Linked DNA regions of Caenorhabditis elegans. The protein of the gene in region 4 purifies or fractionates together with the protein of the main gene of each other region. This does not show direct contact. Each region holds a gene or a part of one and is shown on either strand. Other genes may lie near its edges.

Region 1 (9,825 bases), on a different chromosome or scaffold from region 4:
TTTTCGAGTTGAATACTTAGAACTAATAACAAAAAGCAAAAAGTTAACGCTGAAATTGTGAAGAAGAAAAATATCAAGTCGAAAATCGATATTAAAATAATGATATACAGTAATCCTATACCGAGCGTTGCGAGACCTCATCCCGAGCAAGAACGTCCCTTTAACAATACCGTATGCCGCGATTTGCGCTTTTCAAGTTTTTTTTTCTAATTTTTGAAAACTTCGCAAACCAAAAATGACCAGAAAGCATAAATTTGCGGAAATCAAAAAACAAACAAATATTAGAAGACCGGCAGCGTATCTTTTCCGTGAGGCAAAATCATTGGTGAATCCGAAACGAAAACATTTGAAGAGTAAATAGATAAATAATGCGCGTTTTTCACGGAAATTCCTATGGCAATTTTTGGTTTTGAACTTTTTTTCGTGCCGAAAGTTTCAAAATGTGGTTTAGTTTGTAGAATAGAAATAAATAATGAAGGTAGTCACACACGAACATCACACATGTTACAACAACAAAGGGAAGCACACAAAAAACCAAAAAAAAGGAAAAAGTACACCATATCGACAAAAATCGTTTATTACTTACTATTTGAAAGACTATGGGACAAAGTTCAAAGGCAACGAGTATATAAATCACTACCAAAAACCTAGAAAAAGTAATCTGGAAAAAAGGAAAAAAAGTTCATGAAATTAGAAGGGAGGGGTCGTTTATCATCCAGTTTCTTTTTTTTCTGTGAGGCTGAAAACCGCCCCACCCATTGAATGGAGACATAATTGGCGCTTGATTAATTCGATCTATTAGGATTCCGTTTCTCAGTGTGATTTATCGAGATGTGGTGATGGAAACTTTGAAAAAATTATTTCACTTTTGTAGTTATTTTGCACACAGGACACTCAAAAAGTGCTATTGGAAGATCTTCCTCGTTGGGTGGTAACAAATATGAGATACGTTCCTGCATTTGTATTGATTCAAAGAAATAACGCATTCCGCATCTGTGAAAAATGAATATTTATATCTTTTAGCTTCCAAAACAGAAAGAAAACCAACTTTTCACATGTAACACTCTCAGTATTCGCAAACTGATTCACAGCTTTTGACTGTCCTCGAAATTTTCGATTGTCAATTTGTTGACCCGCATAATTCATTCGAGTCGCCGTGCTTACTTCATTGCGTCCGCTGCCACGTGGCATTGGTAGGAGTGGATGGGCGATGTAATACATTTCACTGTAACATTTCTGAGGTTTTTGGCAAAAGCTGAAGAAGAGAATATTACCTATCACCGCTCTGTTCAGCTGCATTGATGTCACATGCTGTCTGATAAGTCCATCGTCGTTTGTGGCTTACCATGGTTCTGAAAAGTGCATTTTTATTCAGGTTTATGCTGCTTATAAACTTCAAAAATTTGAAAATAACCGCGAAAGCGTTTCGGCTTAAACAAATTTTACTAATTTTATATGTTCAGTTAACTGTTAACAGTACTGTTGAAACCATAAAGAACAACAACAATAAATTGGCTATTTAGATGCCAACGACAGAGAAAGGCACCGAAAATGATGGGAAATGTAGCTTTTTCAGCCAAAAAAAATAAATTGTAAAAATTTTGTACATGTAGTATGCGAGTTGTGTATAACAGTAAATTTGAATCGGAGTGCCATTTTTTAAATTTAATATTAATTAATGAAATGTTTTTTTTCGAAAAATAACTTTCATGAAAAAAAGAGAATGAAAGATGGGGTTTTCACAGCTTTTGTTTCATTTTCCGAAATGAGGGAGTTTAAAATCCATTAATTTTTAACGAAACTCACGATGCACCATGAAATTCCCTCGGTGGATGGTAATTCCTGTTTCCTTTGATTTCTGGAGATGCAGAGGAGTTGGTAGAAGACTCTGGAGCAGAAGAACTTGTTGCTTGAGGCTCAGATGTCGAAGAATATGCAGAATTCAAGTCAGAAGACGAAGAAGATGATGATGATGAAGTTGAATATGATTCAGTGGAACTAGATGGAAGAGAAGATGATCCTGTTGCTCCACTTGCCACATCATCAATCACTTTTGTGAGATTTGGTGAATCTGTGTCCAAATCTTCCTTTTTCTCAATTTCTTGACTCAACTTCTTCTTCATATTCTCCCGAACAACTCGGCTTCTCAAACCATCCGATCGGATGAAGACCACTTGTTTCTCACCGAACATTAATCCTGAAAATACGTAATTCATGTTAATTTTTATTTTAAATTTAAAATCTCACTCATTTTCCTTGCTGGTTCTTCTACTTCCACTCGTGCCAAATGACTAATTGATTGAGGTCGTCGAGCTGATTCTTCAGATTCTTCATTTTGAGTAGACATTTTCAGTTAAATCCAGCTGTAAATTTCAGTTTTATCTAGACAAAAAAGCGAGAAAATCAAATTTGAAAAAGCAGCGAAGCATGATTTAATTATAAAAGTCTTGATATCTATGTACCTTTATCGTTTTCTCGTCATTCGACCATAATAATTATTGATCATTGTTCAATATCTCTGCGTATCTTTTCTCTTCATTGATTCACATCTTCGATATATTCACGCGCACATCTAACGCACAGCAAACACGAAAAACACGAAAAATACTTTTTTTTTTGATTAACACTTTATTTTCATCAAAGTTAAAATTTTGAAAAAGATGGTAATTATAATAAAATTCTGAGAAATAGCCTTGTAGAAAACATTGAGAATGTGTACTAGAAAGCGCTTTGGATTCGCCACGGAAATGGACTCAATAAAAATGGGGGAAAAATCAAAGTGGTTAGCACAAAAAAGTGAGAATAAGAATTCGCTCCAATAAAAATTTCACAAAAAAGAAGAAAATGATGGTTTTGAGCGGCAAATTTGAAATTTCAGTGGGAAAGGTACGGGGCTTTTATAAAAAATGATGGAAGAGAGTAGATAATTGTGTCTATAATCATCACGAAACAGGATTAAAGATGAGGTTCGATTCGATAGATGAGAATAAAAAGAAATGTACAAAACGAATAAAAACGATTTCAAAAATGGGAATATGAAGAAATTGAGTAACGAAATGTGCTTTTAGAAGAGCTTTTTGTGGTACCTACTGGGATATATAAGAAACATTTGAAAGCGACGGGACTAGGGGGGAGAATTACACTGTATGTATAGGAAAAAGTTAAGCGATCTCAATTGAAAAATGCACTAGAATTTCAATGAAGAGCGTTTAACTCAACGTATAGAGTATATATGACTGACCTCTAGAATCGCTAGAAATGAGGAAACATAGAAAAAAAAGCCGGGAATTTGGGGGAAATTGAGCATTTTCGTAAAATAGTATAAAAATCTGATAAAATTTGGCTGAATGCGAGAATATTTGGAGAAAGAAAAGAAATGGTTGCTGCACAGGGACGCTTTTTAGAATAGAATTTGGGACAACGATGACGAGGTTTTGTTGTAGTTCAAAATATAAACTTTATAGTTTCAGAGTTTTTTAAAAGTTGATCTCCCGTTTGAAAACGCTGAAATTATAACAAGGATAACAATATACGAGAAAAATGAACGGAAGTGAGTAAGAGTGTGTAGGGAGCCCTATATTTTTTTTGGAATTTTTTGATTTTTTTTGGGCGAGCTGAAATTCAAATTTCACTTAAAATAGATACAAAACGATGCAGTCCTAAGATGAGGCTTATAAGAAAGAAAAAACAAGAACATTTTTGAAACGGAAAGGCGGGGGCGGGTTGAAAAGTTGACAGGGGTAAATTTGAAAAAAAAAACGCTAACGGTATTTACATTTTAACGAATAAAATGGTATAAACTGGATAAATGGGAAATAAGAAGAAAAAACTTAAAATCTTTGGAAAGAATTTGAGCAAAATAAAAAAGAGACGTTTTTGTATTAAAAAGCTTGAGGGAGAGGAGGGGTGGCAAATGAGGTCTCAAAACGAAAGAATTAAGAGATATGGGGAGGGGAAAGAAACTTAGGAACTTAAAATAATGGAACAACACCGGGGACAACAAAAAGGCGGATAAGCAAAGGGAGAAGGAAAAAAAAGAAGACGGCTAGAAATGAGAAAAAAGAAATGTACAAGAAAAAAAGCTTATATAGGAATTGGGGTAACCTCCTCACTGAAACTTGCTGATGAGCGAAGTTGCATGAGGAACTGGAGTTGGAACAGGAAGTCCATTTGGAAGAATCAATGGTTTGAAGACGAATAGAGTGTGGTTATGCTTACACAACGTCACAATGTGACCACTTTTAGCGATTCGGAGACCAACGCACCGAGAAAGCTGAAAATACAAATTGTTCAATATAACTGCACTTTCTAAATAATTTTCAAGATACTTACTCTAAACTCGTTGTGAGTAAATGAATGAATATGTTGTCCTTCGGGTGAGAATACAACAACGTGCAGATGATTTCCATGAGTATCAGCTACAAGAACCTCTCCTGCCTTCGAGACGTCTATTCCAATTGGATATGGGGTCTGTGATGGTTCTCCCATTTTTCGGATGAATTTTCCTGAAAATATTACACTTTTTTTTAATCCAGAAAATTATTACGGTACCTTCAGAAGTGTAAACTTGGACACAATGATGCTTGAAATCCGTTATATAAATCAGGTTATCAAACATGGCAACATCAGAAGCTTCTCCGAGTTGAGTGGAAGCATCGAACCAGAATGTGACTCGTGGTGCATCTACATCAATAGAATACACAAATCCAGCAGTATCAACAAGTAAAAGTTGTCCATTCGGGGTTGCGGCAGCAGCGGATACTTCTATTCCGCCACGTGGAACCAAAGCCATCATGTTGAGACGTTTGACGAATTCACCACGAGCTTCGAAGATCTGAGCACGAGTTTTCCCGTCACCGCCTTTATCGAGTACCACATAACGGACAGCTTCTCCTCTCAGTGCAATCACTTTTCTTGGGAAGCACAATTGTCCGTCATCCGTTCCTGGACGTCCAATCTTCCATGGATGAGGTGGACCACATACGACAACTCGATGATTATTGGTATCAGCAATCAGAATATCATCAGTGTCAGACAAACAGAATCCAGATGGACAATGCAACTCTCGAATAGTGCTTCCTTGTTGAGATGTTCCGAACACACTGTGCACCTTCAGATCGCTGACTCGTTGTGCGTTCGCTGAATTCTGCGATTGACCGACATCCGAAGCAGTAGTGGTTACAGCCGAATTTGCGGCAGCAGTAGCTGCTAGTGCTGCAGCTGCAGCTGATGTGAGTTGAGGATTCAAACTCAAATTTCCCATTGCATTCATCGCCAAAAACTCTTGAATTGTTTGATTGGTGCGCAGGTTGTTCTGAAAATAAATATTAAGCATGTGTTGTGACTGCATAATATGAATAATGAATAGTATTTAGGAATGTTTCAAAAATAGAGCTTACCATTGACATTATTTGTGGATTCAATCGATGGCTGGCAAGTGCTTGTAGTTGAGCCGCTGCTAACTTCTGCTGCATATAGGCGGCTGAAGCATTAGTTGACAGACCAGTAGTTGTTGGTGTAGCCACTGCTGGAAGCCCTTGACGAGCATTCCACATCGCTGGGAAAATAGACTCTGGCAATGGAGTTTGTGATCCATTTGTTGATCCATTCGTAAGTGCTGCCAAATCCATGTGATTTGCAGCCAAGGCAACCAGATCAGGACGCATACCAGCAGCCGCAGCAGCCATCGCAGCTGCATTAGGAAGATTCGAAAGTTGCTGTTGAGAAACAATTGGAGCAGCTGTCTGAGTCGGAGCTCCAGTTATCATAGTTTGAGGTCCAGTAACAGGTGGGGGAGTTGTCGATTCTGGTGGATGACTGCTTGGTGGCCATCCGCCGAATGCATTGCTGTCTCCACGAGTACCATTGGTTCCATTCTGTGTGTTCTTCTTACGTTCTCCACCAATTGCACCGAGTTGTGGATTTTGTGAATAAACAGGGCGTCCCCATTCTGAAAGAATCAATATTAATAATCAATTTATAGAGAAAATAATCAATTTACCATCTTGTTGTGATGGATTAGCTGCTGAGCTAGATCTTCCACCTCCTGGTTGAGAACCTCCTCTTTCACTTCTATCAGTTGATGCTGCAGTTGCATTTCCAACGTCTTTAACAGTTGGCTGAATCACTCGTCCGATAACTGTTCCAGTTAGTTGATGCACAAAATGATCAATTTGTTTTTTCGATGGAGTATAAAACTCAAGTTCCACTTGGTGTCCATGAGATGGAATAGCATGAGACAAGTTTCCAAATTGTTGAATAACTTTTTTCCTCGAAACAACCAACTCGAGACCATTTCCTTTGGTAAGAAGTCGGCGAGTGAAGTTGATGGCATCATGTACTCGTGCTTCGTTAACTTGTGATTTACGGTACATTTCATCAATGTTAGACTCTTGACGGATTCGCGCCTCTTCGAGATCGTTCACGCTTTTTTGATAGGCCTCCTGAAATTTTAATATATTTTTCCCTTTAACTCCAAAACATTTAAATTTTGATGCCCTACCTCAATAGAATTGCGTAACTCCTCATAATGTTTATCAACTCGATACTTCGCAATCTCATACTGTTCATTCAACTGTTGAGACTTGTCTGGAAGGCTATTCATATCAGCCACAGAATTGTTATATTTCTTTTCGACACGATCCACAGTACTTGTCACATCTTCCCTTATAGCATTGATCACAAGCTCGTTGATATCAATGATTTTATGATTCAAATGATCAACTTCCAGGCATTGCTTACAAGCCGCTGTTTCACATGCTGCACACAAATATCTCATATGCTGATTATGAGTGGAGCACATGACTTGACGAAGTTCTGGATGGGCTCCAGGCTGCCGAAGATCAGCAAATGTGGTTACAGTGTGACCTTGGAAAAGGTTCATGACAGTATGAGCAGTTGTGCAGTTTTCGCATAAATCTGAAGAGCATTGATCACAGAATGCGATGGCTTCTTGTTCGGATTTGCAGGCAGTACATGGTTTGCGATGGTGGGCAACCATTTTCTCAACTTCAACTTCCTTCATTTCGGCAAGACGAACCTGGAAATATTATATTGAAAACATTGAATCCAAGTTTAGTAATGTTTTTGGTAGATCAAAAGACCAAAATACTATGTTTCAGAAAAAAATTCAACTTACAAAATCCAGGAGCATGGCATGAACATATCGAACATCATTTCCAACATGCGATTCTTGTGAACAAATTGGACATCGGATTACGCCAGGAGGTGTTGGTCGTTCTTTAACTTTCGGTGTTTCCAATTCACAATCCAACATTGCTGCAGTCGCTCGTTTCTTCTCTTCAATGGCAGCTGACTTTGCTTGAAGGTGTCCATCAAGTTGAGCAATAATACAATCTTCGCACATTGAATGAAGACAATCAAGAACTCGCGGTTTACGGAAATCTTGTTGACAGTATGGACATGAAGCATGATCATCTTCTGGTAGTGGTTCTGTGCCAAATAGAGGTGATGATGACGTTGATCTGAAACTATTTGGATTATTTATTTATCAGGAAAAATTAGTGTTTAAAGATGTAATATACTAACAATGGCCTAAAAAAGACCGACTTTCATAACCAAATTCATCAAAAAAAAAATTCAAAATTTGTAGTTGCAGTTCAAGAAATTTCAGAAAAATTGTTTTATTTTGGCTGAAAATTTGATTTTGCCAATTAAAAGATTTAAAAAACAATAAATAATCGATACGGAAAAAACAAAATTAGAGGTTTTAGTTGAAATTAAGAATTTTAATGTTTTTTTTTAACTTATGTAATTCATGATAGCTTACCTCAGTGGATCTTGTCCATTCAAACTGGGCGTTCCACTATTTTGTGTGTTATTTGTGGACGTAGCGGGCGATTCATGCCTACCATTCACCGCCGAAGTCGGCCGATCTGCCGCTTTTTTCATCTTCACGGAATGAACGTTCGACACTTTTCAATCTTCTTATCCGGGTGCTTTTTGTTATTAACAAGCACACAAATACAGAATAAGAGAATATTAAAGTATCAGGGACACTCTTGGAGTGTAAACTGAAATGAAAAATGATTATAAGAAGTTAATTGGGTTTAAGAGTAGTAAGAAATTCGAGTTTCACAGAAAATACATTCAAAAGAATAATAAAAAAATCAAGGAAGGCGTCTAAAGTTTCGGAAAATCAGTGAACTATTCGAACTCTAATAAGAATTACAACAAAAACGAACACCTAAATACAAAAAAAAACAAAATATTTGTTGGTTTGAACAACACAACGTTCAGTTTCAGCGTTTCTTTCAATGTCATAAGACTTATTCCACCTGACCAGAAAATTGTTAGGTTCTACAAAAAAAGAATCACGCGCAGACGAATAAGATACAGAAAAAATGAAACGGAAGAAGAGATAATCAAGAAAAAACAAAGTACTTATGGCATTCAATGTTCTAAATATTCTGCAATGCAATACTAAACAAAAAGCGAGCGCAGGGAATGTTTAAATGCAAGTGTTGTAAACGAAAATTGTTGATTTTAACAGAAAATTTTTAATTTTTAAATAAAAAATGAAGAATTTAAAAAAATTCAAAAGTTTTAAAACAAAATAATGCACTTTGGATGCCATTTTCTTCAGAATTTCACGATAAAACATTGAAATTTATTAGAAAAGCAGAAAGCTGAAATCAAATTCTACCTGTTACTGAAAAATCAATTTGCAAAATTCGAAAAAATGACGTCATTTCGACGAAAAAGAGCAATTACTAGCGCACTTTTGCACGAGACGCGTGCAGACAGTGGCGAGAGAGTATGCAGAATGAAGAGAGTAGTCATAGACTGGGACACCGCTTTCTGTATCGTCTCACACGCATGACACACACTTTCGCGGCCGCTACGCAGAGAAACCGCCTACTTGGCATCGTGCCAGCTGCACTTTCACCACCTCGAGGGTATTTGTTGGCTGAATGCCAAGTGGGCGGAGTGAGGGGCGTGAGGAAAACTGCAAAAGTGCGGCAGGGAAATTCGACGATTTTTTCGGAAGCGGTTGGTGGATGACCATTCGCATGATCATTCAGATGACAAACACTCTATTGGAAATTTTTTTCCGAATTTACATAAAAAAGAATTTAAAATCTTTTTACAATAGTAACGTATCAAGTTAAAAACTTTATCAGACGCTAATTAGGCTTCATAGGAATTTTGTTTACTTTTTTCGCATTTTAGCCAACGAAATCGATACGAGCAGGTTTTTGAAAGGCGCTTCCACTAATAAAGAGTTGCAATTTGACTAAATTAATATTTATTTAAATATATTTTACCAGTTCAACAGAAATAAATACTCAAAAGGGAACAATTTTTTAATAAAAAGCAAGGATTTATTCAAAAAGAATTTGTCCAAGAGGAGTTCTGAAATTCACAGTACCAATTTCGTTGCGGGACCTTTTCAATGGAAAAAGCTATGCTCCTTTAAAATTTCACAGGTACTGTAAAGTTTTAAAGAAATTGTTTTCCTTTTTCGATGAGATTCTATTTTTTGACGCCTTATCAGTTTGACCTCTTTCTTGATATCAGTTGTCTCATTCGTGCATCAATATTCAAAATTGCCTCACCAACTACTTCTTACCTTACTTTTTCAGCTCCAGAGGATACTGAAAAGTGATTTTCATTTGATTACCCTTACTTAAGTTTTAAAATTCCCAATATTTCAGATTAAAAAAGAATGGAAAACATCGAAAAAAGGTCATGAGCGGACGTCAACCACTAATTTCCCCCGGATCTCAAAGAATCGGAGTGAGCAAAGACAGAAAACGGTTGGCAAAAATTTTATTACTTTTAATTTTGAATTTATATTTACAG
Region 2 (8,360 bases), 2.6 Mb from region 4:
GATCTTTTGCCTTCTCCATGTTGTCCACGCATTGCTGACGCGTGTTTGTTGCTGGAAAATAACATGTTTTGTGAAATTTCAGACAAAACTAGGAAATGTATTTTCTTTATTCTCATATTTTATTCAAAGATTCAAACTACACTGATCCTTTCAATTCAAAAATTAAAAAAAACTCACGATGAGGTTTATTGTCGTGTGTTAGTGTTTCACAAAGGGCGATTTTGTTTGGCCCCGGTCTAAACGGATCACGGTATAATGCGATTGGTCGGATGTACACATCAGAGCCTTCGCCAAGTGATTGACCGGTCGAAGTTCCATCGAAATTCCAGATTGGGAGATCTGTTGATATACAAAATTACTTTCCAAAATTCTAATTATAAGCTTACCAGATGGAGTTTTCGGCTCGAAGTCAAATGTCTTGGTCTTTCCTCGCATATTTTCCTGGGTTGCATCAATCCAAATGTACATTACCTGATAGTTGTTGTATTGGTCTAGAGCCATGTACTTAGCATTGAGCTCCGAAATATCTGAAAAAGAGCAACTATTCATTGGGTTTTATATGATCAAACTTACTGTTCGTTCGGGCCCTTTTGTTTGATCTACCGTACGACATGTTTGAGAGCTAGCGAAAAAGATGTTTCTGAAAATTAAAGAAATTGAGAAAATTGGGAACTTTTAATTCAATTTCGAAGTTAAAATAAATTGAAATGAAACATTTAATAAATAGAAAAGTTTGGGACACACAGATTGAAAGAAAAGTAAAACTTTAAAACCTTAAACTAGAAAGTAAAACTAAAATGGAATGAAACACCAACTAACGACGGGTTCGGTTTTTCGGAGAGTGTATATGTCAAAGGAAGGATGAGGAAGAGAGAGTGTGTCAGCATATTGATGCAGACAGTCATGCGGGGGGTTAGAAGAAAAAAGACGCAGAGAACCAACTCAGCAAATGACGGTTCACTTCATATAAGTTTACACAAACGCCATTCAGATGGATGGTGGTTACAAAAGGAGCATAAGAAACTCAGAGATCGGCTCACGACCATATTGGTGTAAGTACCTGCCCTTTGCCCAATTTGTTACCTCATGCGGTTTGTGAAAAACGCAATGTACTCGACAGAGAGAGAGAGAGAGAACGAGAGACCGCAGATAACAATCAAAGAATGGGAGGTGGTGGTGGGAATCGTTGCCATACAGTCAAGAAATCAGAGACCAAAAGAATACAACTTCAAATGTTTGAAAAATGAAAACATTATTCGTCCGAAAGTCACAAGTGGAGTGGCTGTGGAGCTATGATACGTGTGATAGTAAGTTGTAAAACGGAAGTTTACACATTCTTTATTGATATTCTGATAAAGTAATTTCGTTTTATCATTCTGATTCAAAAAATCAGACTGATCAAATTAAACCTACTAATCGGAAAAGTGTGGCTGCCGCTGCTGCGCACATGTACTTGGTAGTCTGGGCAACAATAAGGAAAACGGCAAAGTTGGTTTTATTGAACGAAAAAAAGTGCAGACTAGATACGTATGTATATGACAGATGCTATTTTTTCTTTGTATAAGATCAAAGGAGCAAATTCTCTTCACTGATTCTTTGGTTGAGAGAAAAACATTATTATAAAAAAAAGCTGAGTGGCACTGAACGAAAATACTTCTTGATGGATTTTTACCTCTAGTAAAAGACAGAGAAGATAAACAAAAATGGAAATACGACAAAGCTTGAAAAAATATTTACTCGGTTCAAATAGACTTCTATGTATTATGACGGAATGATTTTTCACAACTGAGACTTAGAATGTATACAAAATTATGAACTTATGTGTATTCTCACATATGAGAAAAGCAAAACTAATAGATTATTGAATATCTGCGAGAGGGCTCAAATTATTTGAGAATCGAAGAAAGCATGTACATCTCATTTCGCATTGCGACAGCTTCATACTGCAAAAAGTCAATACATAATGAATCAAATTGTCATCCATTAGGTTACCTTGACAGCGAGCATTGCATCCAGCAACGCACTATCATCCTTCTCGTCAATAGCAACTGGGAATTCAAGGTTTGGAGTGAAACGGAAGAAAGCCATTCCCATGGCTTCAGCCATCCAACGAGCCCGTTCGACGGTTACTCCATCAGCTGCTGTGAGCTGAAAGTGTGGAAAAATGAAAGGTGACAATATAATTAGATGTTTTCCCCGAAAAGGTTGTTAATCCATTCTAGAAAGAAAAAATATTGGAAATAGAAAACAAAATTAACAAAAAATTAAGAAATAACAGTTCCGGTTTATCGAGTGTAAGTCATATACACTCATGTTTTGAACGAAGCTTTAGATTTACGAAGAAAACTTGTCAAATTAGTCCATGTAACTATTTTAGCACCGAAATCACACTTCAAACTAGAATTTGAAACAACCATTTTTGGTTCAAACTAATAAGTCAAAACTCTTTTCAGGATGCGTTTTCAATATGAGAATAAATTGAGATGTTTTCAAGAAACATTCACGTTCGTTGCTAATTATGAAAGGCACCGGTGATTAAAATTAACGTAGTTGGGCTTTTCTGCTATTGAGTTGCCTAATAGTGAGCACACAAACTTTTTGACAACTTTGATTGAATTACATTGACAGACTTATTGATCTGCGCAAAACTTCAAACTTTATTGGCCATTTTTATCTGAAAAGAATTGCTTGCAACTCACCTGCTCAATAAAGACGTCTTTTAAGTGAAGAATCTGGTTGAACGTGTTCACAATTCCACCCATTGTTGTTGGCTTCATCAAGTCAACATTCTCAATTTTCTTTTGCATCGACCCAGTTCCAATTGAAACCATGATCTTTGACACATTACGCTCGTTTCTCTCATATTCCAGGCGTTGACAATCAGTAAGAATGTCAACAGCTGGATTATTAGCGATTAGTCCTCCGTCCATAAACTTTCCATCAACAGGTGGGAAGAATGATGGCGCCGCTCTGAAAAATACGAATCAAAAAGTGCATTTCTGTCCAGCTGTGACTCACGAAGAAGCCCTAACAACTTTTGCAGCTGCCCAGACAGGCTTCATGCCAGCTTGATCAAATGACGGGTCTCTGATGTTATAACTGCGGAACATGTAGAGTAGCGGAGGGCTGATATCGACTCGAGCAACCGGGATACTGATGCGAATACCATTCTTCTCACCGAGTTGCTGGAGCGTATCTCTTCCAAATTCATTTAGAAGAGCATTTTCCAGACCTTCGCCAGAGTATGGTCTGGATCCAATGAAAATATCATCCTGAAAAAATAAGATATTGCAACTAGCACCTGATCTTCCATATCATAATCGCTTTTCTCAATGTTCATTTTCCTACTTTCATTCTGAAATATTGTCTGATGACATGGTCAATATTTCCGTACTTGACCAATCCAAGAGTGATCATTGATCCAGTTGATGTTCCACCGATATGATTGAACCAGCGCAAGAATTTATTTCCAACAACCTTTTCGATCTCCTTCAAAAGCTGAAGAGCCAGAATTCCTTTCATACCACCTCCGTCAATAGACAAAATGACTGAATCTTTCTTGGTCAATGGCGGGAAGTTTTGGCAACGACGATGAGAAGGGTTTTCTGAAAGACGCAGAATGTTATAAAGCGAATAGAAACATATCAAAGTTACCCAGATTGTATTTAATATTTTTCTCTTTTCCTTCTTCAAGTGCTTTGAAGTGTTTTTGCAGAACTTCTGCACATTTACGTCTGGAATTTAGTGCAGCTTTCAAAATTCGGTCGGTGGAATGTCCATCAAACGCCAGAAATGCTTTTACAATATCGACGTCATCTCTTTCAAGAGCATAATCCATTGGAGACATTCCTTTGTTATCAAGCATATTAACATTCGCGCCGTGCGACCAAAGAAGTATGATTGTGCTTAGGTTTCCATTTTTTGCTGAAAAAGTTACGAGTTGCCATTTAAATGTAGTTCAGTTTACCTATATAATGCATTGGTGTGAGTCCGTTCAAATCTTGAGCGTTTATCATTTCAGCTTTGGCAAAACTGAGCATCAACTTTTGGTGCTGGAAATTTGATTAATAAAAACAATATAGTCATTTCAACAAACATCTTTCACGAAATTGTCAAATGTGTGAAACACATTCTTCGAGTTCAAAAGTCTCCCCAAAAAGTCCGAGTCTTGCACGTAGAGAATTCTCAGCACTCTGAAAAACGGTACTAATAAGATAGATACAATCAATGTGGCAACTTACGATTCAAGATCTCTCAGTGAAAATGATGATTTGTTGAGAACATCTGCCGGTGACAATAAGCAATGTGGCAAGTTATTTTTGATTGAGTATTCTGAATATGTTGATAAAGAAAATGTTGTAATTTTTGGTATTCACCTAGAATTTTCTCAAAAGATCGCGGGTAATCGGGAGTTTCGGGCTTGGGATGAGTTTCTGCGGTTATGATCATTTTGTCGCATACTTCTCCGGTAACATGACTGTTGATGTACTGCAAAAATATATTGTTTTCCAAATTTGTTCTTACATTGAAGCATTTTTTTTTTCAAAATATAGAATCGGAAAAACTTGTATACAAATTGAAGCTGCAAAAATCATCCAGCAAAATGATCCGGAGCACAGTTTTCATCTGTACGGATTTTAATTTTTCAGTGAGTCCCACCCATATGCAAGCTTTTTTCGTCAGACTTAACCAATTTCTATAGTTTTCATTTATTGATATAACGCCTATTAATGTCTATTAAGGCATTTGTTTTGTAATTTTCAGCAAAATCCCCCCAAGACACATTTTTCCACCTCGTATCTTTTATTTTAATAAATATTCACCTTTACAATTTCTGGACGATGACGTGCAACTTGCAAAATTGTCTGACCATTATGATTCATTGTCAATGGATCGAAATATTTGTCCCAGACCATTTGAAGTAAACTAAGAGATGCAAATCGAGCGGCAACATGAACGGGAGTATCACCTCTTCTATTTAGTTTTGACATTGAGAAGCTGAAACGGTTCAGTTTTTGTTAACTCAATAAAACTTGATTTGACAGTAACCTACCCATCTCCTTCTTTCTTTTTCTCCTCCTTAACATAATTTGAAAATCCAGAAAAAATCGCAAAATATACTGCTGAGCACTCGGATTGTAATTCCTTTTCTCTCAGCATAACCGGTACCAAATCATTAATGACGTTGATAGGATTGTTCAGATGTGTGATGGATTCGTCAAATTCTTTCCACAAATATTCCAGATCGTCAATGTAAGATGCATTCTTATTGAAATAAACAACCTGGAAAGTTTCTACGTGTATTTTTAATGTTATTTCAGCTTACATAGTTGTTTGGTGTGTAGACAAGTGCATATCCATCACCATATGTAGCTTGTGAAAAGTTCGTAGAAAGCTTTGAGTTGATAGAAAATTTCAAGGTTTTATCCACAGGTCCCGGCCACTGAAAATTGTGCAAATAAATAGGTAAAGGTTTTTAATAATTTAAAAAACCATAATCTGGGAGCACATTTTTGACACATTAAAAAAACATCGTTTTCCTCATCGTTGTGTGGTAGTTTTTTAAACAAAAATTTATAAAAAACTATAGAAAAAATATTTTTTAAATTTATTTTTAGAAAGTGCATGCTCAAGTTTTTTTTTCAATTTTTCATAAACTCAAAATGTTCAAAACTCACCATCGATTGTGCCTGTGGATTGCTGGCTTGAGACGTTGAACCAGCTGCTTTATGTTGAGCATCCGCGTATTCTTTGATTTTATCCTCCACGTTTTGTCGGACTGTGTTCATCGCCATCTGGCCGACGTCACTTTTGGCAAGTTTCATGAAAAAATCCATCTGAAATAACTGTGTTCATAGAAATATGATGTGAAACATGGAACAAACTGGAAATGGAATATAACAACAACAATTAGCATAGGTGTCGTCAAATGTGGTGTCAGGTCCGCATGTACACTTTTGCGGACTTGAGTGCACTATACCACTTCAGATGAGAGGTTTCCGTTTCCTTTTGGTTTTTCTCTAAACAATACAAAAAACGTGTTGAATTTCTAGTAAGAATTCGTTTTTTTTTCTTTTAAACTATTTGTGAATAATTAATGCGTTCTCTGCGGACATTGTTTTCCCGCCCTCACCCTTTGCCCAGACAGTGCATGTGTTCTTATCGATTTGTACAGCTGTTACTTTTTTCGATTTGTTTTTTTTTCTAAATAGAAATGACTTTCAAGTTTTACTGTTGTATTTTGCAGCAAAACTTACAATAAAAAACTATTGACTAATACCCAAAAGTTTCCCACCCAATTCGATGCAATCCATTTAAAAGCCCCCACTTAAATGATAGAAAAGTTACCAGCATCTCGAACAAATCCGGTTTCCGATAGATTCGCTCGATCGTCCATTAACTCAATCCGTGCACTTTTCCCCCTCAGTTCATCCCCATGAACTTTGATCTAAAACTGTTGTTGGTTTGTTTTCAATTCAATTGCTTATTTGGAACCATTTTAAAACTGGGCAAAGAGTCCGTTTTTGCGATCAGAAGATTGTCCTCTTTTTATGGTTTTAGAACTCTCATTAAACGTCAACTTGTGACCTTTCGGAACGTAATTTCGAATGCATGTCTCCTAGTGTTTCCGTTTTTGTTCAATTGCCAAATATCCTTTGTGCCATCCTTTTTCTTTTTACCACTTTGATAGATAACAAATGAAAGACAAAGTTATAAAAGTTGAAAATAATATAATATTTCAAACCTAACAAGATTAATTGGTTAAAAATCTGTTACTTATTTTCGGAATATATCCGTTCCTTTCCTTCATCCACTTTATCAAAGGAATGTGTGTAATCTTTGAAAGTATGCTCCAAAACACTCATTACTCACACACTCTTGTCTCATAAACGTGGTCCCGTTGCTAGATGGTGCCGGCGATGATACAAGAGAGAGAAAGAGACTACAAACGGGAGTGCGTGTGAGACAGCCTAGCTAAATCTACCAATCCTACATTTGACCTTTGCCACGAACCAAGATGGCGTAAGTTGCAGAGGCCTGCACCGTCGATCGTCGAATGTTTACATAACCTATTCATAGAGTTGGTTTTAGATATTCGACTTTTTTATCCCTAGAAACATTTTTGTCGACGCATCATGTAAACTTTGTTTATTAAGTATTACCATATTTTCCCTTTCAGACATGCACCTCCCCCCCCCCCCCCCCCCATTTCTCTACTTTGGCGGCTTTTTTAAGTTTTATTTTTTGAAAAAGTAGAAATTGTTCCCCTCGATAGACTCAAAATGGCCTTAAAACCCAATTTATGAGGAATTTTTCAAAAAAATGTCTAAAAGTTTTACATTAGTCCCCTTTTTTGAAGCTAATTCTGCATGTTTTGGTAAATATTTTTCAGTTCAGTTGATAGAATACTAAATTTGGATAACTATCGATTAGCTATGTACTGAGAATGTACTGAAATATACAGAAAACTTTGGCATAAACAGCCTAAGTACTCAAGAAGTGGTGATAATTGAACGAAAACAATCTACATGCTTCTGCAATAGGTACAAGTTGGTAAGATTCGAACTCACTAATTTACTGTCTATTTCAACTTATCTTCAATTGCGCACTTTTTATGTTACATTCTCCAACTTTGAACACACATTCCGACCTTGTCAATCTGTTTGTCAAAGAGAAAAAAGTCTTTAAAATTCCGGGGGACATTCCTTTATCTCGTTAGTGTCAAAGCCTACCGGCGGCATCAAGTAGAAAACAATAATTGATATCAGATTGATCCGAATTTGAAACGACATCGAACTAGTTTTCGCATTCTCGCTACATTTCAATGAATTGAGCGTGTATGTGTGTATTATATGTGTATGTGTGCTTGATGATATAGGCGATGATAATAACACATACATACGCACAGGAAGGTTTTCCCCCTGTGGCCACACCGGTGGAAAGTGAAACCATCGCAGCCGAGGATTGAGATGACACGGTGATAGGATCTCCTCATCTTGTCCCCCGCAATTCGATTCTTGCCTCGTTGTCCTCAGGTTGATGATATATGCTTTTAATTAGGTTAATCAAAACATCAAAGCCCTTTTAACTCTGCCTCCATAAAAATTTTCTCCGCGTGGGTCTCAACGCTCATTTCATTTTTTCGTTTCACTCGGCAACAAATCAAGACATTTGTCAAACAAAAATCAAGAACTGGATTTCCGTTCATTTGGTTGTCGGCATACAAAAAGTGTATTCCAATAGCTCAAACTCGGAAAACCGTTGCATCTTGTATTGACAAGGTTCTTCATCTTTTTTTATTTGCACCGTCTCGTCATGAGTCTGTACTGCAATTAAACATACTAATTGAGCGATGTCTA
Region 3 (5,512 bases), 8.0 Mb from region 4:
CCGATCATCATTCTTTTGGAGTTGGAAGAGCAAGATTCGTTGAATGATGCATTTTTGGATGCAATCTCATATTTCCCAGATGTTTATTGGATGAAGGGAAAAGTTGGAAAGTAAGTGAATGTTTTTATAAATTTAATTCAACAATACATGAAATAAATTATCTATTATTGTTGGGTATCAACGTGTATTGACCCACGACGTGGCTAAGAAGATCGTACAACGTGAACTCTGTGAACTAACTTATTTATTCCTTAGTTTAATGTAATAATAAACTACTCGTCTTTGAATTTCGGATGTCTGGCGGGAGTTGCAGTGATGACCAATTATCATGTTCATTAATATGTTCGTCAATAAGTATACATCATCTTACAGTTTGGATTGCCTTCTCCGAGCTGGTGTAAGCAGTGCGGAGCATGTGGTTGTTGTCAAGGAGACAGCTGTAATGGCAGAGGAGCATACTGCAGATTGTAACACAATTATCACAGTTCAAAAGATTCATCGAATGTTCCCAAGACTTCGAATGATCACTGAATTGACGCATGCGACAAACATGCGATTCGTGCAGTTCAATCCACATAATGCTTATTCATTGGCTCAATCCAGATTTGAAAAAAAGGAACGAAAACGTGGCTCTCATATGCCGTTCATGTTCCGACTACCATTTGCACAAGGAGGTGTTTTTAGTGCTAACATGCTGGATAGATTACTTTATCAGGTTAATTTTTTAATTTCCGCATATTCAAACGTAATATATTCAGGCTATTATCAAACCGTTTGTGGTTGATCTAGTCAGACTTCTTCTTGGAATTGATCAACATAGTGATGGCGGATATTTAACTTCGGTACAATCAAACTAATTGCAGTGAACCTTCATGTGATAAATATTTCAGTTTGTTATCACATCGGATGACTTATGGATTCGGAATTATGGACGATTGTATCAAAAACTATGCTCCTCTGTGGCTGATATTCCTATCGGTATTTTCAGAACCAAAAAGATGGACACTAAGACGGTAAACACAAATCTGCTCAGTATCGACTAATTGTTTTTTTTTTTAATATTTTCAGGTATCCCTTGATCTTCAAGAACAATGCAAAGATTTTGAAAACACTGAAATGGGAAGAAACAAAGATATGTATGATCATGTGAAAAATCGAATGAGACTTCTTAATATAAAAGACACTCATACTTGTAAGTTTTATTCGGAATTAGTTTTCTATTTTTAAACCCTTTCTAGTCAATTGGAAATATGCTAGCCGGTGCAGATCAACAGGTATAAGCCGAAGAGTGGTGTGAACCAGCAGACAAAATAAAATTAGAAAACTTACTTTAATACTTACTATTTACTTTTATTTCATTTCATAATAAGGTTGAAGATTCTTTAAGTTTAATTCTAATTGCTTCAGTGTGATCATTTTTCTTGGTGCGGTTAGACGTGGTGAACTGTATTTTAAATTTCAGTGCTCGAAGGAAGCGATGAAAAGTCGCAAATCTCATATGTCATCATCAATCCTGCTCAAGATTTGGAACTAGAGTCCGGAGATATTGTGTACGATTTTAAATTCTATTTCAGATGAATTTTTGATCAAGAACTCATAAATGAACTTTCAGCTACGTAATCAGAAGTCCAATCCGGAAAGATGCAACCAACGCAAGAATTAACCCAAGAAGGGGTCTAAGACGCAGTAAAAATGTTAGTGAAACCATCGATTCAACAAATCAAGTCCCAACAATTGTCATTGATGAGAATAATTTGTAAACTTGCGTTTTTTGTACAATGCCCAACACAACGAAAAGTTGAATTTGCTGGAATATTTGCTCGTGTTTTAAAAATGAATATTTTTGTAATTTTATTTGTCGTAACATGATTCAAAATTAAATTTGTAGCGCTATACAAACAAACGGATTAAATGCTGAACGTTTGCCGGGCATCCTGTCACTGGACATCTGAAATTTTTCTCAAATAATTGATAGTTTAAAATAAAGAAAACTCACTTGTTATAAGTGTTTACGTATTGGTTGATACATGTGTAGCAGAATACATATCCAGATACAAAAAGCGCAGTATCATTAACTCTTTTCTTCAAACAAATTGGGCATTTATTGGTGTCCAAACTCAAAATTTCCGATTCAGATATGATCATTTTGTGTGGAGGTGAAGGAATAGCTCCGTCAAGGCCAGTCTTTGTAAGTTTTGCCAAATCTGTGTTGTACATATAATCCAAAAACTGTACAAAGAAGAGCCCATAAGCAAAGAGCCTTGAAACGATTCCAGGTAGTCCCAAAATAAATCTCCAGATGCGATTGAAGAATCTTAAATGAATATGTTCGTTTAATGTTCCTCTAGAAATTTGATACCCAGTTTGGAGATGAAGAGGAACAGCATTGAAAGCTTCCAAGTCTTCTGGCGTAAGATGTTTCAGAATCACGCCTGAGAAGTAAAGCCATGGCGAGTGAATGGAGCTGCGGTTCAAAATGTATGCAAGTTGTAGAGCACTTTTCACTGCCTTAAGAGCTGTCTTGATGTATGGCCAAATGATCACAAACATTTTTTGACACTTTGCTTTCATGCCCTGGAATTATAAACGATATTTCAAATTTATTTGTCTATACATACATTAATTGATGACCAGCTTCTGCATTCGTAAACTTCCTTGAGCCTGTCATAAAGCTGATTCAATTTATTCTCTACATAAGGCCATCCGACTAATGTAATAAGCGACATTATTCTTTCCCTACCATCGTTCGGTGGATTTCCTGTGCCTGATGCTATTCGCTTCATAGAATAAAAGTTTTCCGTGAACGACGCTCCTGAAACACATTATCTTTAGGTGAAAAATTGGAATTAAAAAACGTACCATAGTTTCTCAAATAGTGGTTTTGCAAAATGAGATCGAATATGATGTAGTATTCATCAAAGTTTCGGTGAACCGAAAGAAATGTTTTTGGCTTGAAGAATGCTAGATACTGAAATGTTCAATTTCAAATATTCGTTTCACTTTTATTCTTAACATACTTTTACAAGATGCTGTAAAGCCGGTCTGATTGATGTTGCAAGATTTTCTTGAGCGATTATATCAAAAACCGATGGCTGCTTTTCTTCAGTTTTTGGAGAAATTGACGAAGCCAGCTGCGAGGCACGAATAGTCGTACTCATTATTTCCTAAATTTTTCAGTTAAAAATAAGAGGAAATTGTTGAGATTATACTCATTAAAATTTACAAATAAAACCAAAAAAAAGGAGAGATATGAAAATGATTGAACACGACCATCGATTGCCGGAGGAGCGAGGACACTGTCCGTATCATACTACGACGTAGTGTGTCCTTGTCTTATCACGATTAGATAGTAATTGAAATGTGGAGGGTTAGAATTGCAACAATGTAACCTTTGCTTTTCTTAACTGTAGATCTATTGATGCAAAATACAATGAAAATAACGACTCTTTAATAAATGCATGAATAATAAATAAATGGGATTTTCAATTATTTGTAGTGAGTTTTACGGTGCGTGCTAGTTCTTTATGATTTTTTTAAAGAGACACCAAAACGTGGACAACTATATACATTATTTTAAATATAAAAACAATAAATCACGAATTGTTTGCACGCAACATTTGTTCTTATCTTAACTCTTATCAACTTCAATCCGCTTTTGGAAGAACTGAACCAACGTGGAGGGTGGTTTAATGTTTTTATTCAAATACGAACCGCAATTGGGGAATCATCACATAAATGATAATTCTATCAGTAAAAGTTACGGAAACTGAAAAAAAGTCAAACAACTGAAGATCGAATTTGAGGAAAAAACGGAAATGCAAAAATGGCACTGAATAGAAAAACTGTGTGCGTAGAATTGAGCGGTTCACTTGAGTAGATTTTAAGAAAAAGAACATGGGACTGGGAGAAATGAATAATGGGAAAATGATACTCGTAGATTCTAGGTGCGATCAAATGAAATGAAAGAAAATTTCAACTGAATTGTCGACATAAATACATGCATTTTTTAATTAAGTAGGCGCAATTGTGATAATACATTTTCTGAGGCTCTTCATCGATAATTACGTTGATAATCATCTGTGTAGGTGTAGTTTGCGTATCCACTGAAAAAAATAGTTTTTTGAAACATTTGAATTTATATTTAGAACATTTTTCATATCCAGATTTCAATAGCAGGGCTGTTACTTTTTCATTATTTAATATTTTTTGGGTTCTGGCAAACATTAAACATTTTTGTCGCATTTGTAATAATGCAAAATTTTTCTAAAACAGTATTTGTTGGTAATTTGCTACATCAACTTTTTGATCTTTATTGTTGGTTTTTGTGTTTCAAACTGAACTCGTTTTATTTCTGATACCGAGTATTTGAAAGATCATTTCAAAATGTGTAGTTTCAAAAAATATTCCAATTGATATTAATATGCTAACTTACGGCTTAGGCCTAGTGTCATATGTATCGGTAATGAACGATGACATGTGATGTGTTTCAGATGGTGGTTCCACAATGCTGAAATATATAAAATTATATTCAAAATTGCAAAGTTAAGGGTTATTTTTCGAAAAAATGGCTAAGCTAAAGTTATTGTGACACTTTTCTTTAAATAAAATTGTGAAACTTACTATTTTGGGAACGCGTGCATCTTAGAGTATAAACCTATTAATGAGTTTGAAATTATCACAATTGGTATCAACAGAACTAGGCAGATCAGCATACACATCCATGTCCCGTTCTGAAATTATAAATTGAAAACAGTTCCCCAATTTTTGTGTCATTTTTACATATGGATCAATTGTGTAAGCACAAACAGCAGCAGTTGTTTGCCGGGCAATTTGTGTCAACGGTTGACATGACGTGACCTCGCTCTCCATCTGAAAAGTCAAGCAATTATAGAATTTTTTGAAACACTTTTGCGTTATTACCTGGCTTTTGACATGAACTATGTACTGGTCGATGTTGTTAACCATTTGTTGGAATTCTTCTTTAGCTGCACGACCGAAATGCTCTCTCATGTTTTCAGCCAGTAAAGCCTGAGCATGCTGAAGCTTTACAAGAAGAGAAGAAACAGGAACTTGAAGCTGAGAAAGTCTGGAATAAGTATTTTATAGGAATTCAACATTTAAAGAATTTTCACTTTTCATCGAGTGAAGTAATGTTAGAGTACAATGCCTCTAATCTGCTCCTTAATGGTTTCGCAAATTGAATCTCTAACTCTCTGATTTGTTCAAGAACAAGAGTCACTGCCTTAGGACGACCCGAATTTGCGTCTAGAGATTCCTCGAATTCCCGCGTTTTGGATGCTAAGTCGAGTTCATCCATTGCATGCTTTATCTGAAACTCAAAGTTAAAAATTGCTCAATTATGTTTCCAATCTACAAACCGCATTCAGGCCTTGTTGGCTAACTTTTGAAACATTCACTGAGGCGAGTTTCTCCAAATCTCGAAGTTCGCTTCTTGAAATGAATGCATCAAGCGGACGAATTTCCGGCATATTTTCCATAGTTGTTCGCAAGG
Region 4 (7,549 bases):
TTCTGTTGAGCCACTTTCCCGCCAATACATGAACATGACCATCCAGACTCCAGAACAAGAAGTTGAGTTGAAGAATGTTCGTATTCCACGCGTCGTTCTCCCAACTATTGCTCGTAGTGCCATGTTCCAACAAACCTGGGAAAAGACCGGAGCCACCTGCAAGGTTGACCAATCTGAGGTTTCTACCTTTGACAACGTGATCTACCGCGCTCCACTCACCACCTGCTACTCTCTTGTTGCCAAGGATTGCTCTGAACAGCCAAGATTCGCTGTTCTTGCCAAGAAGATCAACAAGAACTCTGAGGAGCTTCTCGTTAAGGTTGTCCGCCGTGAGGAAGAAATTGTTGTGAAGAAGTCTGACGATAAGTTCCTTGTCAAGGTTGACGGAAAGAAGGTTAACCCAACTGAACTTGAACAATACAAGTAAGCTTTAACTCTAAATCACATGAATTTTTCTAATCTCGTTTTTCAGTATCGAAATTCTTGGAGATAACCTTATTGTTATTCGTCTTCCACAAGGAGAGGTTCGTTTCGATGGATACACTGTCAAGACCAACATGCCATCCGTTGCTTCACAAAACCAACTTTGCGGACTTTGCGGAAACAATGACGGTGAGAGAGACAATGAGTTCATGACCGCTGACAACTACGAAACTGAGGATGTTGAGGAATTCCACCGGTCTTACCTTCTCAAGAATGAGGTAATCAGATTTTTTCAATGAACTGAATGTAAATTTCATTTTCAGGAATGCGAAGTTGAGAACGACCGCATCTCCGAGAAGAAGAACTACAGAAACAAATGGAACAGAGAAGAGAAGAAGTCCGACTACGAGAGCAGCTCCGACTACGAGAGCAACTACGATGAGAAGGAAACTGAGAAGGGTTAGTCTAAGGCTGAATGATGTGTAGTTTTAACAAAATACATATTTTTCAGAACTCGTCAAGAAGACCCTCATCAAGGAGTTCTCCAACCGCGTCTGCTTCTCCATCGAGCCAGTCTCTGAGTGCCGCCGTGGACTCGAATCCGAGAAGACTTCCAACAAGAAGATCCGTTTCACTTGCATGCCACGCCACAGCAAGAACGCTCGTCGTTTCTTGAAGGAAGCTCGTGAGCAAACTGTTGCCGAGTTGGTCGATTTCCCAGTCTCCTTCGTTGAGTCTGTCAAGATCCCAACCGCCTGCGTTGCCTATTAGATTTCATATGTTTTATTAATTTTCTATTAAATAAAGCATTTTCACTAGAATGATTTTTTTTCTCATCACTTCTAGAAAACAAATACACATGTTGTAAGGATGTCAATCGAAACACAGCTTTGCACCAATAGTTTTTATTTACGCGTGTATTTAAGGCTTCGAAGGAGATGATAGTGCTTGCAGTAAACACGAAAATTAGTGATAATTATGAAAATCAATATAATTTTAAGGATACTTAGAGGGCAATCAAAAAGCTTCTCGACTTAAAAAGGTACATTCCAGAACTTGATATTCGAATCTTGTCCGGCCGACACAATTGTAGTTTCGTTGAGCCAAATTACCGAATTGACAGACGACATAGCATGAGCACCTATAAAAATGTTGTTAAATGTGTTAAATTAATAGAGAAATATTTACCTTTAATGATGATCGGATGATCAGATGGTTTGTTCATGTTCCATACAATAACGCTGTTATCCAAGGAACCGGTCGCCAAACGGACATTGTCCGGTGACCAGGAAACACATGCAACCTTGGCGGTATGGAAAGTCCAGGAGTTTGTGTGAGCTAGCTCGAAGTTGTTCGCAACAGAGTACGGGATAACCTGAATTTTGAAATCTATAATAGAAATGATTTTTTTTCAAAAACTAACCTTTCGTGATTGATCGGTTGCCACGAGGAAAGCTCCATTATTCGAAAATGCGACAGATGTGATTTCAGCAGGATGGACAATTGTTTTAACTTCAGAGACACTTGCTCCAGAGAGTTTGTACACATGGACCTTCGAGTCTTGTCCACCAACAGCAACAAATTGCTTATCGTTCGATAATGCCACACAGGAAGAATTGTAGCTAATTGGTACTTCCGTGAGCTTTCCATGAGAGTAAATTGCAATATGCTTATAGCAAGCAGCAACTGCAATATCTCCATCTGCGGAAACGGCGAGACCGAGAGGTTGCGAAGATAATTTGTTGGCAACAGCTTTGGAAGAATCGACTCCAGAACCTCCGGCAGGAACAACCTTCAGATGATCATCCCAACTGACGGTGAACAAATCACCCTTGCTGGTTGTCTTGATTCCGGTGATCATTGTGGCGTGAACATCCGGAAACACGCGGTTTGATATTCCTGTGGAAATATCCCAGGAGTCTGAAAACAAGTTTTAAATTTCGAAGCACTGAAACTACTCACTAATATGTCCTTCAGCATCAGCACTGAAAAGAGTTTTTCCATCAGCGCTGCTGCTAAGTGCAGTAATCGCCTTGTTGTGTCCGTATCTAACCTGATCGATACTTCCCAATTCTGGATTGACAAAATTGATAAATCCATTAGCAGAGATAGACACAAGAGCCTGCTTGGTCCAAATGATTCCAAGTTGTTGATCTTCAATTCTAGTTCCAACGGGAATAGTCTTTTCAACCTTTAATGTAGCCACATTCCAAATTTTAATGGTCTTATCAGCAGAAGCCGATGCGATTTTTGTACCATCCGGGCTCCAGGTAAGGCCAAACACAGATCCAGAATGAGCGACATTTTTCAAAGAGTCATCTTCAAAGACTCCGGTTTTTGTTCCATCAACTCCGTTGTATAACACAATGGTTCCATCTCCTCCAGTCGAGGCGAACAGAGAGCCATCAGGGTTGTAGCGCACAGAGTGGACGAATTTCGTATGTTCTCCGAAAGTCTGGAAAAATTGGAAAATAAATTTGAAACTGGTTTTTTGTCTGAAAACGTATTTGGAACACTCGAGTCATTTAAAACAAGTTTCCTTCTATCAAAATTAAATCTCTGTTAGAGTTGCACTGACAATAAGCTACTGAAAAGATGTTTGCATTCCGGTAGTATTAAAAATTCACGCATACGTTCAGGTTTTTTTCTACATTATTTGTTGATAGTTTCTGAAAAAAAAGTTCGCTCAGTGTTTTTTTTAATGTTTTATCAAATAAAAAGCATGAAACTTCAGCGAAAAGCTCACGCGAAATTATCTTTTTTGGAATTAAAAAATACAACTTAACACAAACCTAATAGAATAACATGTAGTATTTCGAAATACTTTAAGCGGAACCTTTGTGGAGAATTTTCAAAAACTAATCCAATATTACAATCACTTACACTTTTAAATTTGAATGGTGGTCCTTCAAAAATCGCCACTGTATTATCATCAGATCCAGAGATAATGCGGAATGGGCGTGATGGCTTGAAGTCGACGCTGTTCATAGCGCGAGCTTGTCCGGTAAGATTTCCATTAGACGTTCCAGTGTCAAACAAGAAAACATGACCGAAACGTTCTCTGCCTTCTCCAACGGCGGCAATTCTCTTACTTTCGCTATCCCACGAAATATCCTTCACTGGTCCAGAGAACACCGGAATAGTAGTTTTCAGAATGTGGGTGGTTTGAGTTGTGTCCCAGATACGAACATTTCCATGAACATCACCAGAAGCACAATAATAACCACTTGGGCTTGTCTTGGCGACAGTCGTTTGGTGAGAATGCTCAGTGTAGATTTCGGTGTCGGTTAGGCTTCCAACTGGTACAGTATAAACCGATGTTCCGTTACAATATTGAATCTTGTCTCCAGCGGGGGTGTTGCCTGGAAGTATTTTTGTAAAACGTGATTTAGCTTTCCTATTAACCGTTTCACTTTGCACTTTTTCTGTTGCCAAAGCGTCTCACTAATACTTAAATATTTCATCAATGATTTTTACTATTTTTCGCACAATTGACAAAAAAACTACAGTAACAACAAGCGCTACAGTAGTTTTTTAAAGGATCAATGTGGTTTTCGCTACGAAATACTTTAAATATGTTGCGCAATATGAATTTTCAGAATTTTCTACTTTTGCAAGTGAAGACTAATTATTTTAAAGAAACAATTTATCTGAAAATTAGTATTGCAGCCATATTAAAATATAATGCAGCCATACGGCTTCAATTTCTAGTATTAAATAGTAAAATCACCGTGCAATTAAAAATATAAAAACTCACCGAGAACTACGGCAGTTCCTCTAGCAGTGCGAGGCAAAGACGGGAACAATGCGGTTTGAGAGAATTCCGACATTCTGCAAAAATTGTAAAAATTGAGCAGGAATCCAAAAGATCGAAGGAAGAAAATCAATAAAATCAAACGAGAGCATTGAGAAGAAATAGTGACGACAGCGGGTGAGGAACTAATGAGGGTGCGGAAGGACAGCGGTCACTGGTCACTAACAAACAGTGCGCGCGGCCGAGATGGGGTTTCCTAGGCCGCAAAGATTGAACAACTGTTTTCTTTGCTTGAAATATATAAGTTTTTCGACGGAATTTTATAATTGAAATTTTCTTTTTTTTTTCTAAGAAAAAATTATTAATTTGGTCGATCTATTTTTGTTGATAACGAAGAACAATGCGATAGTTATTTGTGACGTGAAAAAAGTGAATAAGTGTTATTGTTGTGAGAAAGAGGAGGTCAATAGAAAACGGGGCCCGCCGGCTCGCCGGGTGGAAAGCATTCGACAGCAAGACGTGTTTTTCAATCTGCGACTCGGCGATTCCCATCATCACTCGACAATCGAGAAACGGAGGTTCACGCAAACAGAGGATCGGCTGTAAACTCCTCGTTGCTCATCGACCGCTTTTTTTATTATTAGCCGTCACTGGAAAAATCGATAAACCTGCGGGGGAAGCTTTGGGTGAAAAACACGTTTTTTTTTCTCGAACAACATGTCGAAACAAAACAAAATAAGAAGAAAATTGGTCGGGTTTTGCAATAACTTTTCGAATGAGAAATGAAACATTTTCTCGATGAGACAACTCACCAAGCACATGTGATTCATGTTGCATACACGTTAAGGAGGGGCTGACTAAGCGAACTATAGCCTTATCGCAACAAAAAACGATTTTTTTCCTCCCTTTTCTACTTTTCTCGTATGAATTTGTGCAAACTAGAATATGATTCCCCGTGAGTCACCGGAAGAGCTAAATTTTCAATATCAATATATTCATTAATATAAAAAAGACATGTTATTATTTAAGTCCAAAAGTATTTTTGAATAAAGAGTACTACAATCCAAACTACATACTAAAAGCTTATAAAAAATTGCTGACAACTTGGCTTCTCGAGATGTTTCAATAGGAATATTCGAAAAACAAGTAGATCATAAAAATTTGTATATTTAATTTTTTAAAACTGTTTTTCTTTCTCTAGAGCCAACATATTTGCAGGATTCAAGTGTGTGCAGCAATTCTGTGGAGTATGGCCAGTGGGAAAAATTTGAAATGTTTTTTCTGGCAAAAAAAGCTTCAATCGGTGATCAACTTTAAAAAAAAGATTCTAAAAAATTAAGTTCACACGAAAACTTTTTTATCTGAAAAATAGCATTCAATAAAAAAAAATCATGATAAAAATGAACGAAAATGGATAAACGTGAAATGATAAAAACTCTAATTATTCTTTCTCGAGTTCTTCGCTTGATAAGAGGCAACACGATGCTTATGAACTCCGAGCATAACAACAGGGACGAAAAGTACTTTGAAAAACCAAAAGGAGAACAATGTTCCAAGGGCAACCTGAAATTTTGCAATATTCAGACCACTAAGACACCATTGATTTTACCTGAACATCATGTTGCACACAGCCCGTTGTGATTTCCCAATTAGTCCCGATAATTCTGACAGCTTGTTTGGCAAAGTTTTCAGGGGTGACAACGAAGATATTGTTCGCTTCTTCAGCTTCATACGAGGCGACCTTGGTAGCAACGAGCATTGGAATGAGACACTGGAAAAATGAATAAACTTACACTTGAGTTTTTTTTTAAAGTTTGTGAAGAAAGATTTTGAGTTAAAATACAATACGTTTAACAATAAATTGAATCAGTTCTGGCAAAATCATTACATGTAACTGGTTACGTTTAGACGTGCGACATTTAAATTAAAAACTCCGTTGTTGTAAGTATTAATATATACATTTTATAGAATACAAATTTTCAGATAAGCATGTCATTTGACAGCTCGTTTTTCGATTAGGTATCTACAATTATTCAAAATGCAAGAACACAACTCAAAAGCTTTCTGAAAGTATTTCAGTGCATTTAAGGCTGTTTAACGAAGGCTCTATATATTTGAAATTTTGAATTTCAATTTTGAATGCCTTGAAGGAATATTTAAAACGTATTGGACAATAAATCGGTAATTGTTAAGATTTAAATTTAAAGTGTACCTATTGAAAATACGTACCTGAACACGAATTCCAGTTCCTCGGTATTCATCTGACAAGGAGTCGGAGAAGAAGGATAATGCAGCTTTGCTAGCCGGGTAAGAACTGAGGTACGGAAGCGGCCTCCAGCCCTGGAAGTATATGATTAGTAAATCTCGGAAGTTACGGTAGGTAGGTAGGTAACGGTTGGTAGGCGCTTACCGTCATTGATGAGATATTTACAATGATTCCTCGCTTTTTCTTCACCATGTTTGGCAGAATCATCTCGGTCATCTGAAACAAAGCCTTAATTTGGAAAAGTATCAGAGTATTGAAACCTTAACAGCAGACATCAGGTTAACACGAAGAATCTTGGACGCCAATCCTTCTGGCAGCTCGGTCAGTGTTCCAATGATATGTGGAGCAATTCCGGCACAATTGACTGTAAAAATACATTGTGAAAATGTTGGAAAAAATTGCTTACTCAAAATTCCAACATCTAAAGTTTCGAGATCCTTGGGGAGAGCTGACAAGTCGTCTTTTTCAAAATCATGGACATGGCACATAACCTCGCATCCATGTTGCTCCACTAGCTCCTTCTTGGTGTTGTTCAATTTGTCGATATTGCGGCCAATCAGGTAGAATTTTTTGAGCCCTCTTGTTTTGCAGAGTTCTTCAATGTACGCTTTTCCAATTCCATCGGTTCCTCCAGTAATCACTGTAGCAATGAATTTTGAATTTCAGAACATGATTCAACTATATTGTTCAGGCAGCTTTAGCCCAGAATAGTATTTTATTCAAAATAAAATATAAAAATATAACATACCAGTCCAGGTATCCTTCAAGTAGTCCAAGTCGTGTTTCGGTGTGATAAAATGCACAAGTACACTCTTACACATAATGTACAGAAATTTGAGAACTCGGACGCACACATATGAAGTAACGGCAAACTGTGCGGCACTCCATAATGCGCCTGACATCTGAAATTTTAGAATTCTTTGAAAAAAAAACAGTTGGTGACAAGACAAGAATGTAATAATTTGGGTCAGAAAATGCAGGAGATGAGAGAAATGTAGCAAACATTGACACAGATAGAAAACCTTTTATGAGTAAGAGTAAGAAGAACAGTAGCCTGCAGAAAGGAGGATAATGAGCGGAATGATCCAAGGCCGCGTGTCGGCGCA

Evidence for each region.
Region 1: the proteins of unc-78 (region 4) and nhl-2 fractionate together in Caenorhabditis elegans (co-fractionation; one large-scale study listed by BioGRID). This does not show direct contact.
Region 2: the proteins of unc-78 (region 4) and C45B2.6 fractionate together in Caenorhabditis elegans (co-fractionation; one large-scale study listed by BioGRID). This does not show direct contact.
Region 3: the proteins of unc-78 (region 4) and prx-12 fractionate together in Caenorhabditis elegans (co-fractionation; one large-scale study listed by BioGRID). This does not show direct contact.

The regions. Positions count from the first base shown.
Region 1 is NC_003281.10:4,891,047-4,900,871, forward strand, and holds nhl-2 (B box-type domain-containing protein), read right to left. Parts: upstream 8,040-9,825; 5' UTR 7,912-8,039; coding exon 7,790-7,911; intron 7,485-7,789; coding exon 7,139-7,484; intron 7,040-7,138; coding exon 6,503-7,039; intron 6,444-6,502; coding exon 6,002-6,443; intron 5,951-6,001; coding exon 5,400-5,950; intron 5,315-5,399; coding exon 4,552-5,314; intron 4,506-4,551; coding exon 4,333-4,505; intron 4,274-4,332; coding exon 4,109-4,273; 3' UTR 2,612-4,108; downstream 1-2,611. Other genes in the region: F26F4.6 (TFIIS-type domain-containing protein), read right to left, coding at 858-993, 1,049-1,225, 1,275-1,352, 1,807-2,197, 2,248-2,347; tag-340 (START domain-containing protein), read left to right, coding at 9,712-9,779.
Region 2 is NC_003284.9:6,050,535-6,058,894, reverse strand, and holds C45B2.6 (phospholipase A2), read right to left. Parts: upstream 5,838-8,360; 5' UTR 5,796-5,837; coding exon 5,679-5,795; intron 5,444-5,678; coding exon 5,327-5,443; intron 5,284-5,326; coding exon 5,054-5,283; intron 4,999-5,053; coding exon 4,824-4,998; intron 4,489-4,823; coding exon 4,377-4,488; intron 4,333-4,376; coding exon 4,242-4,332; intron 4,194-4,241; coding exon 4,097-4,193; intron 4,053-4,096; coding exon 3,968-4,052; intron 3,925-3,967; coding exon 3,655-3,924; intron 3,606-3,654; coding exon 3,349-3,605; intron 3,273-3,348; coding exon 3,019-3,272; intron 2,971-3,018; coding exon 2,700-2,970; intron 2,149-2,699; coding exon 1,993-2,148; intron 1,944-1,992; coding exon 1,887-1,943; 3' UTR 1,722-1,886; downstream 1-1,721. Other genes in the region: gln-1 (glutamine synthetase), read right to left, coding at 1-51, 178-339, 387-527, 574-613.
Region 3 is NC_003284.9:11,390,947-11,396,458, reverse strand, and holds prx-12 (Peroxisome assembly protein 12), read right to left. Parts: upstream 3,167-5,512; 5' UTR 3,159-3,166; coding exon 3,018-3,158; intron 2,969-3,017; coding exon 2,860-2,968; intron 2,813-2,859; coding exon 2,619-2,812; intron 2,575-2,618; coding exon 2,360-2,574; intron 2,315-2,359; coding exon 1,997-2,314; intron 1,949-1,996; coding exon 1,891-1,948; 3' UTR 1,840-1,890; downstream 1-1,839. Other genes in the region: slo-2 (RCK N-terminal domain-containing protein), read left to right, coding at 1-110, 373-715, 759-842, 891-1,013, 1,069-1,192, 1,463-1,550, 1,613-1,760; prmn-1 (PRoMiNin (5-transmembrane domain glycoprotein) homolog), read right to left, coding at 4,052-4,103, 4,433-4,507, 4,621-4,730, 4,780-4,869, 4,921-5,086, 5,133-5,329, 5,379-5,512. UniProt on the Caenorhabditis elegans protein: Component of a retrotranslocation channel required for peroxisome organization by mediating export of the PEX5/prx-5 receptor from peroxisomes to the cytosol, thereby promoting PEX5/prx-5 recycling.
Region 4 is NC_003284.9:3,407,362-3,414,910, forward strand, and holds unc-78 (Actin-interacting protein 1), read right to left. Parts: upstream 4,255-7,549; 5' UTR 4,254-4,254; coding exon 4,181-4,253; intron 3,786-4,180; coding exon 3,307-3,785; intron 2,879-3,306; coding exon 2,386-2,878; intron 2,344-2,385; coding exon 1,847-2,343; exon of another isoform or gene 1,799-1,846; coding exon 1,612-1,798; intron 1,565-1,611; coding exon 1,458-1,564; 3' UTR 1,313-1,457; downstream 1-1,312. Other genes in the region: vit-5 (Vitellogenin-5), read left to right, coding at 1-423, 473-701, 747-882, 935-1,194; putative oxidoreductase dhs-27, read right to left, coding at 5,615-5,740, 5,787-5,948, 6,407-6,517, 6,588-6,659, 6,704-6,807, 6,850-7,083, 7,192-7,345. UniProt on the Caenorhabditis elegans protein: Induces disassembly of actin filaments in conjunction with ADF/cofilin family proteins. Regulator of actin organization in myofibrils.